Kluyveromyces lactis: one gene and its partner. The protein of the gene in region 1 interacts with the protein of each later gene in a pairwise test. Links are inferred from orthologs where the notes say so. Each region holds a gene or a part of one and is shown in the gene's direction. Other genes may lie near its edges.

Region 1 (4,105 bases):
CGTCAGTTTCCAATTTTCCATTGGGGAAAATCAGCAAAGGTAGTGGTAGGAATACCGAATACACAAGATTACATATCGGCGGTGGAGCCCAAACTAGATTCAATTAATGTTATTTCGAACGACTCCATTTTGACTCTTGACAAGACTCTTGAACAGTTTCCGGGTCCGCTAATCAAGGGAAAATCAAAATCCAAAGATATTGCTAAGTGGCTAGATACTTATATTGAAGAGAAGAAACTAAAGGGTGCGAATGATACCTGTATTTTGCTTGAGCTCTTAAAACTGCGTTTGGATCCATCCTACAGTTTAAAAGCTGTGACAAATATAATTTACGATTCCAGTATATTGCTTCCTTATTTGTCTCAGCCGTTCATTCCAAAGGTTGCTGCCCCGAATGCTCACAAACTCGATGCCAATTCTTTGATTAGAGTTTTAACGTTATTGCAAACAGGCGCACATGACGATGCTTTAAATCTTTCTCTAGCTTTAAAAGATTATGCTATGGCATTACTATTGGGTAGTATCCTAGGAAAGGAAAAATGGTCGTCAGTTGTGGACCAGTATTTGACACAAGAATTTGAGCAAAGCAACGAACGAGACATCTCTTCTATTAATTTATTGGCTACAATTTTCCAGGTTTTCATTGGCAATTCTAAAAAGGTGATAGATTCTTTTAAACAAGATCCCACGAAACTAGAGTGGTCTCTAAATAACTGGAAGTTATTGATTGCATGTATTCTAAACAATTGTGAGGAGGTGCCTGCGAATGGAAAACTTTCCCCTATTGTGGTGGAATTTTTGCTTCAATTCGGAGAGCTTTTGGTCAGCAGAGGTCTTGTCATTGCTGGTTCCATCGCTTTTATCGTTGCCGATATTCCAATGTCCGAAGAGCCTTTGATTCCGTTTTCTTCTACAACATTCGAATACATTTGCTGCCCAAACTCATTTGAAAGTTTGATCTTATCGGAAATATACGAATTTACGTACGGTCAGAAAGATCCATCATTCTCCGGATTCACGTCATTGATACCGCAGAAGATAATTCATGCAGCTGGTTTAAGTGACTACGGTTTGAACAGTTCGTCAACAAAATACATGGATATGGCCCAAAGTATGCTAAAATCACTTCCTAAGAACTCAGAGACTACCTTGAAAACATTACGCTATATTGAAGATTTGAGTAATCAACTATCGTCTAGTAATGTAGGCTGGTTAGGGAAGCCAAAATTAAGCAGCGTATGGGGACAGCTTGACAAATCCTTCAACAAGTTTATCGGAGGTGACACAGACATTGATGAGTCAGAAACAGCAGCAATTGAAGACAAGGTCTTTGAGAAGTTTACACCAACTTCTTCGAGAAACCCATCCATGGCAGATTTATCACAAGCAGCATCCTATTTGACTCCTGCGTTGAATCGCTCACATATCAATCAGCTACAGTCCAATAACAGCTCGCTCATTAAATCAACTACGAAAATCCTACCGGCCTCATCATTACCTAGTAGAGAAACTCATTCTAAATACGGTCCACCACCACTACGTGATATGAAACCTCAGTCTAAAATTGGGGAGCTCTATGGCAGCCATTCTAATATAGAACCTTTGAACTCCACTGCATCTGCTCGTAACACTGTACATCCATCACACTTTGAAGAGCCTGATAACTATGTTAATCCCTCTGGTGCAACCTCTCTCGGACAAAAAGAACTGCCAAATTCCAACTCTACACCTGAACCTGTACTGCCACCTTTAGCTCAAGTATACCCTGGATATCAAATCCATCACGATTTATCAGATGGCAATTCTTCAGTCTCTTCTGGCCACAGACTCTATAGTAAGATGGGTGTGCCAAACCAAAATACTGCTTCATTCTGCGTTCCTTCCCCAATAGTCTCTCCACAATCAACGAAGCATCAATCATCTACTTCCAATAAGGCACTACCGTTAGAAAATCTATTCGATGATACAGTCACCTCGGGTTTAACCACTGAATCTACCCAAACTGGGAGTAATGCGCCACCTCGTTTCCATGAAAATGAACAACATTCGGTAGTTGATGACATTGTGGAAGAGATTGGGAATGAAATTGATGCAGAATTAGATGAATTACAGCACTCAGAGTTTTCAGACGATAACAATTTCGAGAGTACCGAACAAAATTCGATCTCTGGCGTTGAAGGGTCTGTTTCTCAGTTAAACGTCACCAATCAGTTACCTGTTGCAGAAAACTTGCAAGAAGAGGACAAAAATCAAGTAACCGATATTAATGTTCCCGTCACGCAAGCTCAACCGCTCAACTCTTTTTCCCCGGCCTCTTCTATTTCTTCTAAACCTTCTTCTTTGAAAAATATGAGTGTAGACAAAGCAGAACCTGCGAACCCTTACGCACCTAAGAATAGCTTCGGTGTTGCTCCACGCACTGCAAGAAAATCATACAATCCGTATTCACCTTCTTCTATTACGGAAAGTCATTCTATGGCATCCCTGCCTCAAACCTCAACTTCGCCTTATAACAATGATAATAATAGTGCTCCAGTTAATGAGACAGGTGGCCCAGAAGATCTTGCGATGTATGCGTATGGAAGCTATAAACTGTCCGGTGAAGATGCCAAACCGCAAACTATTGATTCTCCAAACGGACAGAAACAAGAAATTGAAAACAAAACGTCCTCACCACCTCTAAATTCTTTTGTTCCTTCTAATATTGGTCTCGGAGAAAATTTGATTTCTGTTAAATCTATTGGATTACCGGCACACTTGCAGAACGATTCACAAACATTGCCTTCTTCAAAAATCAAAGATCCTGTAATCAGACCGGTTCAAACCTCAAATTTCGTACCATTCATTGTCAGTGATACTAATACCGAAGAGTACTATGATGACTTGGTCGAAGACACAGAAGACGAAGATGAAGACGAACCTATTTCAGTAAAAAGGGAAATATCCGAAAGAAACTCGGAAAATCAAAACCAGAAAGTGAAAAATGATGAAGATGAAGATGAAGTTAAAACTGTGAGCGAGGATGAAGCCGGGAAACCTGATAAGAAGCAGAAGAACGAATCATCAGGAGGTTGGTTAGGCTGGTTTAAGAAGGATTCTAACGAGAAAAAACCTATTAAGGCCAAACTAGGACACGCGAATAACTTTTACTATGACGAAAACCTGAAAAGATGGGTTAATAAGGATGCTACTGAGGAAGAGAAATTGAAAGTGGCGACTCCACCTCCACCACCTCCTGTCGTAAAGCGTAAGATGTCAAAAACGCCTGAAATAAAACCCCGTCAAGGTTCAGTTGTGGGAGGTCCAGCGTTACGGACTGCACACGCAGTTATGCCCACCAATCCTTTGACCGGCAAACCGCTTGATCCTGTGAAAGACTTCTCCGATGATGCAGAGACAAAGTCGGAATCACCCGTATCTTCGAAACCACCTGTTTCGAATACTAATGTCAACTTATCTGGGTCAAAAGCAAACGGTCTAGATGATTTAATGGCATTGACTGGAGGCGTTAGCAGCGCATCGTCGACGAGAAGGAAAAAGAAATCGACTAGAGGTTACGTTAATGTTATGGAAAATTTATAACATCACTTTGTTAACTAGTTCTTCCGATAATTGAATTTCGAAATTGTTCTCAAGTGTATTGCATATAGCGTTAAATGAACCTAGTGTACTTCGACGTCTATGAATTTACTGAAAATAAATAAATATAGTCATTAATGATCATCTTTTACATTGGTATTTACAAGGTAGTATCGTAAAGCGAGGCCTTTTAATTACTAAGATATACTTTTATCAGTCTTTTTTAACAGGTGGTTGAACTCTGAACAAGTCTCCGTTAACTTTCATTCTTTCGATTACAATTTGGTTCGAAGTTTCGCTATCTTTTGGCAATTTCGCGTCTGGTGCACTCTCAAAAACAGAACCAGTTAATAGAATATCATTTGTGCTTGCATCGCAAAGGAAAGCGATATAGTCAATAACATCTCTGTCCAGTTTATCAGTTTTACTTTTCTTCTTGTCGAACTTAATTAACCTTTGTTTGGTATCAAACTTATAAATCAATTGAATTAATTCAACTGGACGACCGGGAATCATCATGGCTTGT
Region 2 (4,260 bases), on another chromosome or scaffold:
AAAGCACTATTGCTGTAATTCTACTTGGAAACTTCACCTATGGTCCGGGAACTGGTTAAATTTCGTTATGTTCTGGTGTAAATGTTGTATTGAAACGATTATTCATTATCCTTAACTAAAATATGTCAATTTAAATGTTGCGCTGCGTAGACTAAAAATATTCAGATGGGTATTCGCATATACAATTAAATGGGTCTATATACAATATGTGGAGTATTTCGACAAAGCTTCACAGTGAAGGATCTTTTTACACCTGTAAATGCAAATCTCAATGTTCTTTTGCATCGACTGTCCCCACTCTCTGGTCATTACCCTTGGATTGCCAACAATCTTTGAACAGTTTCATTTCACCAAGACACTGTCTCCAATCATTAGTCTCTGCATGGCAAAGTTGTAAAGCTAGATTCTCTACGTAACAGCCTGTGTTCGATATTCTCTTGTCCCAGGCATCAGGATCTTCTTTATCCATATCCTGATACTCCGCTAATGCTTCCTTGTAGTATTTTGATTCTCCTGCAGACATAATTGAAAGTATGAAGCTACGACAGAATAATTGCTATTGACTCGGTCAACGTATCACTGTAGACTGTGATAGTCGTTTCAAGATTAACTGTTGCATGTACTATTGCACTTATTGTATTGTATTCTACTAAATTAACCATTTATACTTCAGTGTTTTTACTTTTCCAATTAAACCTTGCTCTCGATTGTTCTTTATGGCCACTGAACTAATTTTCCGTTCCAAAAGCTTGATTGAGCTACAAAAGGTTTAATGACTATTAATATAAGAAAAGAAAGCTGTGTTAAAAAACGTCAGAGATCCCCAAACTGCAATACAACACTATTGATCTATGTAATAAACGACCAGGCTGCGGTTTGCGTTGGCGTAATTGCACCGGGAGATCACGTGATATAAATGCTTTCAAGATTATGCAATCTCCAGGCACACAACATATTCAGTACTTAGTGCGGGATACCTACTATAAACTCAATAATTGTACAGTAACATAGGTAGTAAGATCCCTTTTCGAGTATACATTGTCCATGTTGTTGTCCCTTTGGATGGTGTCTCGCCTAATTTTGGGCCAGATCTCGACTGCAAAAAAATAATTTGCTGAAGTTTTTATAAATGATGGGAACTGAAGAAACCAAAGAAATTGAAGATTCAAAATATGTAAACCGAATTTTAGGAAAACAACAGCTTGTTCTGATCTTTTTCAGAAGAATAAAAGGTGGCTAAACAGTGTTACACGTAGCATTGAGTTTGCGCATCAATATTAGCTAATACCCGTGTGATAACTTGAAGCAATGGTGAAGCTAGCTGAGTATCCGCGTACGGCTACGTTTTCATGGTCTCACGATAGGGTGCCAGTTTTGGCGACTGGTCCTGCATCTGGAGCCATTGATGCTGATTTTTCAAGTACTTCGACATTAGAACTATGGTCGCTATTGTCTTTTGATGGGTCTAAACCTAGTGGATCTGTTGTCGCTGACGGTAAGTTCAACGATTTGGATTGGTCGGGCGATGACAAAATAATTGCTGGTGCCTTAGAAAATGGTGTTGTTGAGTTTTTCGATCCAAAAGCCTTGAAATCTGTTGCTAAGATCCATAAACATCAGGGTCCTGTCAAGACATTGAAGTTCAATGCCAAACAGAACAATGTTCTTGTCTCTGGTGGCACTCAAGGTGAAATCTTTGTTTGGGATTCAAACAAGATCGGATCTTCAGATTATTCTCCTTTTTCGGCTGGTATCAGTAATACTCCAATCGATGAAGTTTCCTCGTTGTCATGGAACCAATCGTTGGCACATGTGTTTGCATCAGCCAGTTCTTCAGGGTATGCATCTGTGTGGGATTTAAAGGCAAAGAAACAAGTTTTGCATTTGAACCACAGTTCCTCTACCACTGGTATTAAGGTCCCATTGACGGTTGTTGACTGGCATCCAACCAGCTCTACCATTATTGCAACCGCCTCTAGCTCAGATACAGAACCTCTTGTCCTAACGTGGGATCTAAGAAATGCTCATGTACCATTGAAAGTGCTATCACAAGGACATTCAAAGGGTGTTTTATCGTTGGATTGGTGCAAACAAGATGAAAATCTATTGTTATCCAGTGGTCGTGATAACACTTCGGTGTTATGGAATCCGCAAGAAGGCTCCATCTTAACTCAGTTCGCTCCACGTGGTAACTGGGTCTTTAAATCCAAATTTGCTCCTGAAGCTCCAGATTTATTTGCATCCGCATCCTTTGATAGTAAGATCGTCGTTCAAACGTTGCAAAATTTGAGCAATACCTTGGATGCTCAGGCAAATGAGAGTAAGCAACATGCTTCTGAGGATGAATTCTGGAACAATGTAACCTCCAACTCAGTTGATGACAAACCTAACACTGTCAAGATCCAAGCCCCAAAATGGTACGGCAACAAATCTCCTGCCGCTCAATGGGCATTCGGTGGTAAGCTGGTTAGAATATCCGATGATGGTAAAGGTGTCAGTGTAGTAAAACCTTGTATTTCTGGACTGGAAAAGAATCAGCTTTTCGATGAGTCCTTGAAATCCAAGGACTTCGTGAAATTGATCAATAAGAGATTATCACAAAAGATCAACGCAACAAACGAAGATGACTGGAATTTACTAGAGAATCTATCTATGGATGGAACTGCACTTTACTTGAAAGATGCATTATCATTAGATGATGCCAAAGAAGACATCATCAAAAAGTCAGAAGAAGATGGTGCTGACTTCTTCAACCAACTAAACGACAAATTCGTTCCCGAAGGCGCTTTCAAGCTTGATTTTTCTGAATCAATGAAACCACTCACTAACTTTTTGATCAAAGGTGATTTGAAATCTGCTTTAAATCAGGCTTTAGAGAAGGACTTGTTATTAGAGGCTTTGGTGATCGCTATTACTTCCAATGATGCCTTGTTGGCGGATAAAGCGAAGAACGCCTACTTTTCCAAGCATTCTGAGCAATCTGGGTTGGCAAGAACTTTATTCTCTGTTGCTCAACGCGATGTTGAAGATATTGTTACAAACATCGATGTTTCTCAATGGAAAGATGCTGTTCAGTTCATTTTCAACTACACCAAGGAAGATATCTCAAAGAAAAATTCACTTTTAGTAAAATTAGGTGATAGATTACTACACGAGGGAAACAGAAAAGATGCTATTTTATTATATTTGAGCGGCCAGTCCTTGGAAAGCATTGCGTCAATTTGGCTGAAAGAATTCCCTGAACTTGAAAATCAATTGACGTCTCAAAAGGACACCTTATACGAGGCCCATCTGGAATGTTTAACTGAATTTGTGGAAAGGTTCACCGTGTTATCTGACTACCTTGACAAAGGTACTGTTAAATTAACTAATCAAACGCTAATCTCAAAGTTTTTGGAATTCGTCAATGTCACAGCTGCCAATGGCGATTTCGAGCTTTCATTAAGATTTTTGGAAACTTTACCGGACGATAACGAAGAGGTTAAAAGTGAAAAGCAACGTGTGCTGATTGCCTCCGGTAAAACAAGTACTACTAGGTCAACAGAAAGGACAGCAAACAGTACCCTACAATCCAGACAAGGAAGATACGGTTCAACTTCCGTACCAACTGCCAATGGTGCGCCTCGTTTATCAAACTCTGGAATTCCTCCCCCAAATCCTTTGGCTGCTCCTCATCAGCCTCCTGCCTCAACTGCTCCAAATGTCGTCCCAAGAAAGCCAAGCTTCGTTCCACAGACAACTTCTGCAATTCCAACACCCAATCCATATGCTCCGGCTGCGGTAAATCAGCAAATTCCTCTATCTGTTGTGGGTTCCAGACCATCTTACACGCCACCAGTGAACCCATATGCACAAACTGCTACAAGTATCCCACCTAACCCATATGCCCCACTACCTGTGGCAGCGCCTGTACCACTTGGCTCTCCAGTCGCTCCGCCACCAATTTCCGGTGCTAGTGGATATTCTGGTCAAACGCCTCATCTACATGATAAACCAATCGACGGTTGGAATGATCTCCCATCAGTAAGCAAAGAAAAACCAACCCGTGCCAAGGCTGTCAACACAGCTCCAATTGGCATGTCAACTCCATCGTATGGTACCCCCGATCTTGCAGCGGTTCCACTTTCGAGAGCATCTACAAACTCAACGCTCCCACCACCACCGCCTAATGTGAGAAGAACACCAAAGCTTACTTCCCCACCCGAAGTTGCATCTCCTCCGCTACCATTAAAAAAGACGAACTCTTATGCGCCTACTGTC

Evidence for each region.
Region 2: the proteins of SEC16 (region 1) and SEC31 interact in binary tests that used the Saccharomyces cerevisiae proteins (3 or more experiments, as listed by UniProt). The link is inferred for Kluyveromyces lactis from reciprocal best matches to the Saccharomyces cerevisiae genes SEC16 and SEC31.

The regions. Positions count from the first base shown.
Region 1 is NC_006041.1:2,124,099-2,128,203, reverse strand, and holds the end of SEC16 (COPII coat assembly protein SEC16), read left to right. Parts: coding exon 1-3,582; downstream 3,583-4,105. Other genes in the region: MBA1 (Mba1p), read right to left, coding at 3,793-4,105. UniProt on the Saccharomyces cerevisiae protein: Involved in the initiation of assembly of the COPII coat required for the formation of transport vesicles from the endoplasmic reticulum (ER) and the selection of cargo molecules. Also involved in autophagy.
Region 2 is NC_006042.1:504,699-508,958, forward strand, and holds the start of SEC31 (Sec31p), read left to right. Parts: upstream 1-1,308; coding exon 1,309-4,260. Other genes in the region: COA4 (Coa4p), read right to left, coding at 269-523. UniProt on the Saccharomyces cerevisiae protein: Component of the coat protein complex II (COPII) which promotes the formation of transport vesicles from the endoplasmic reticulum (ER).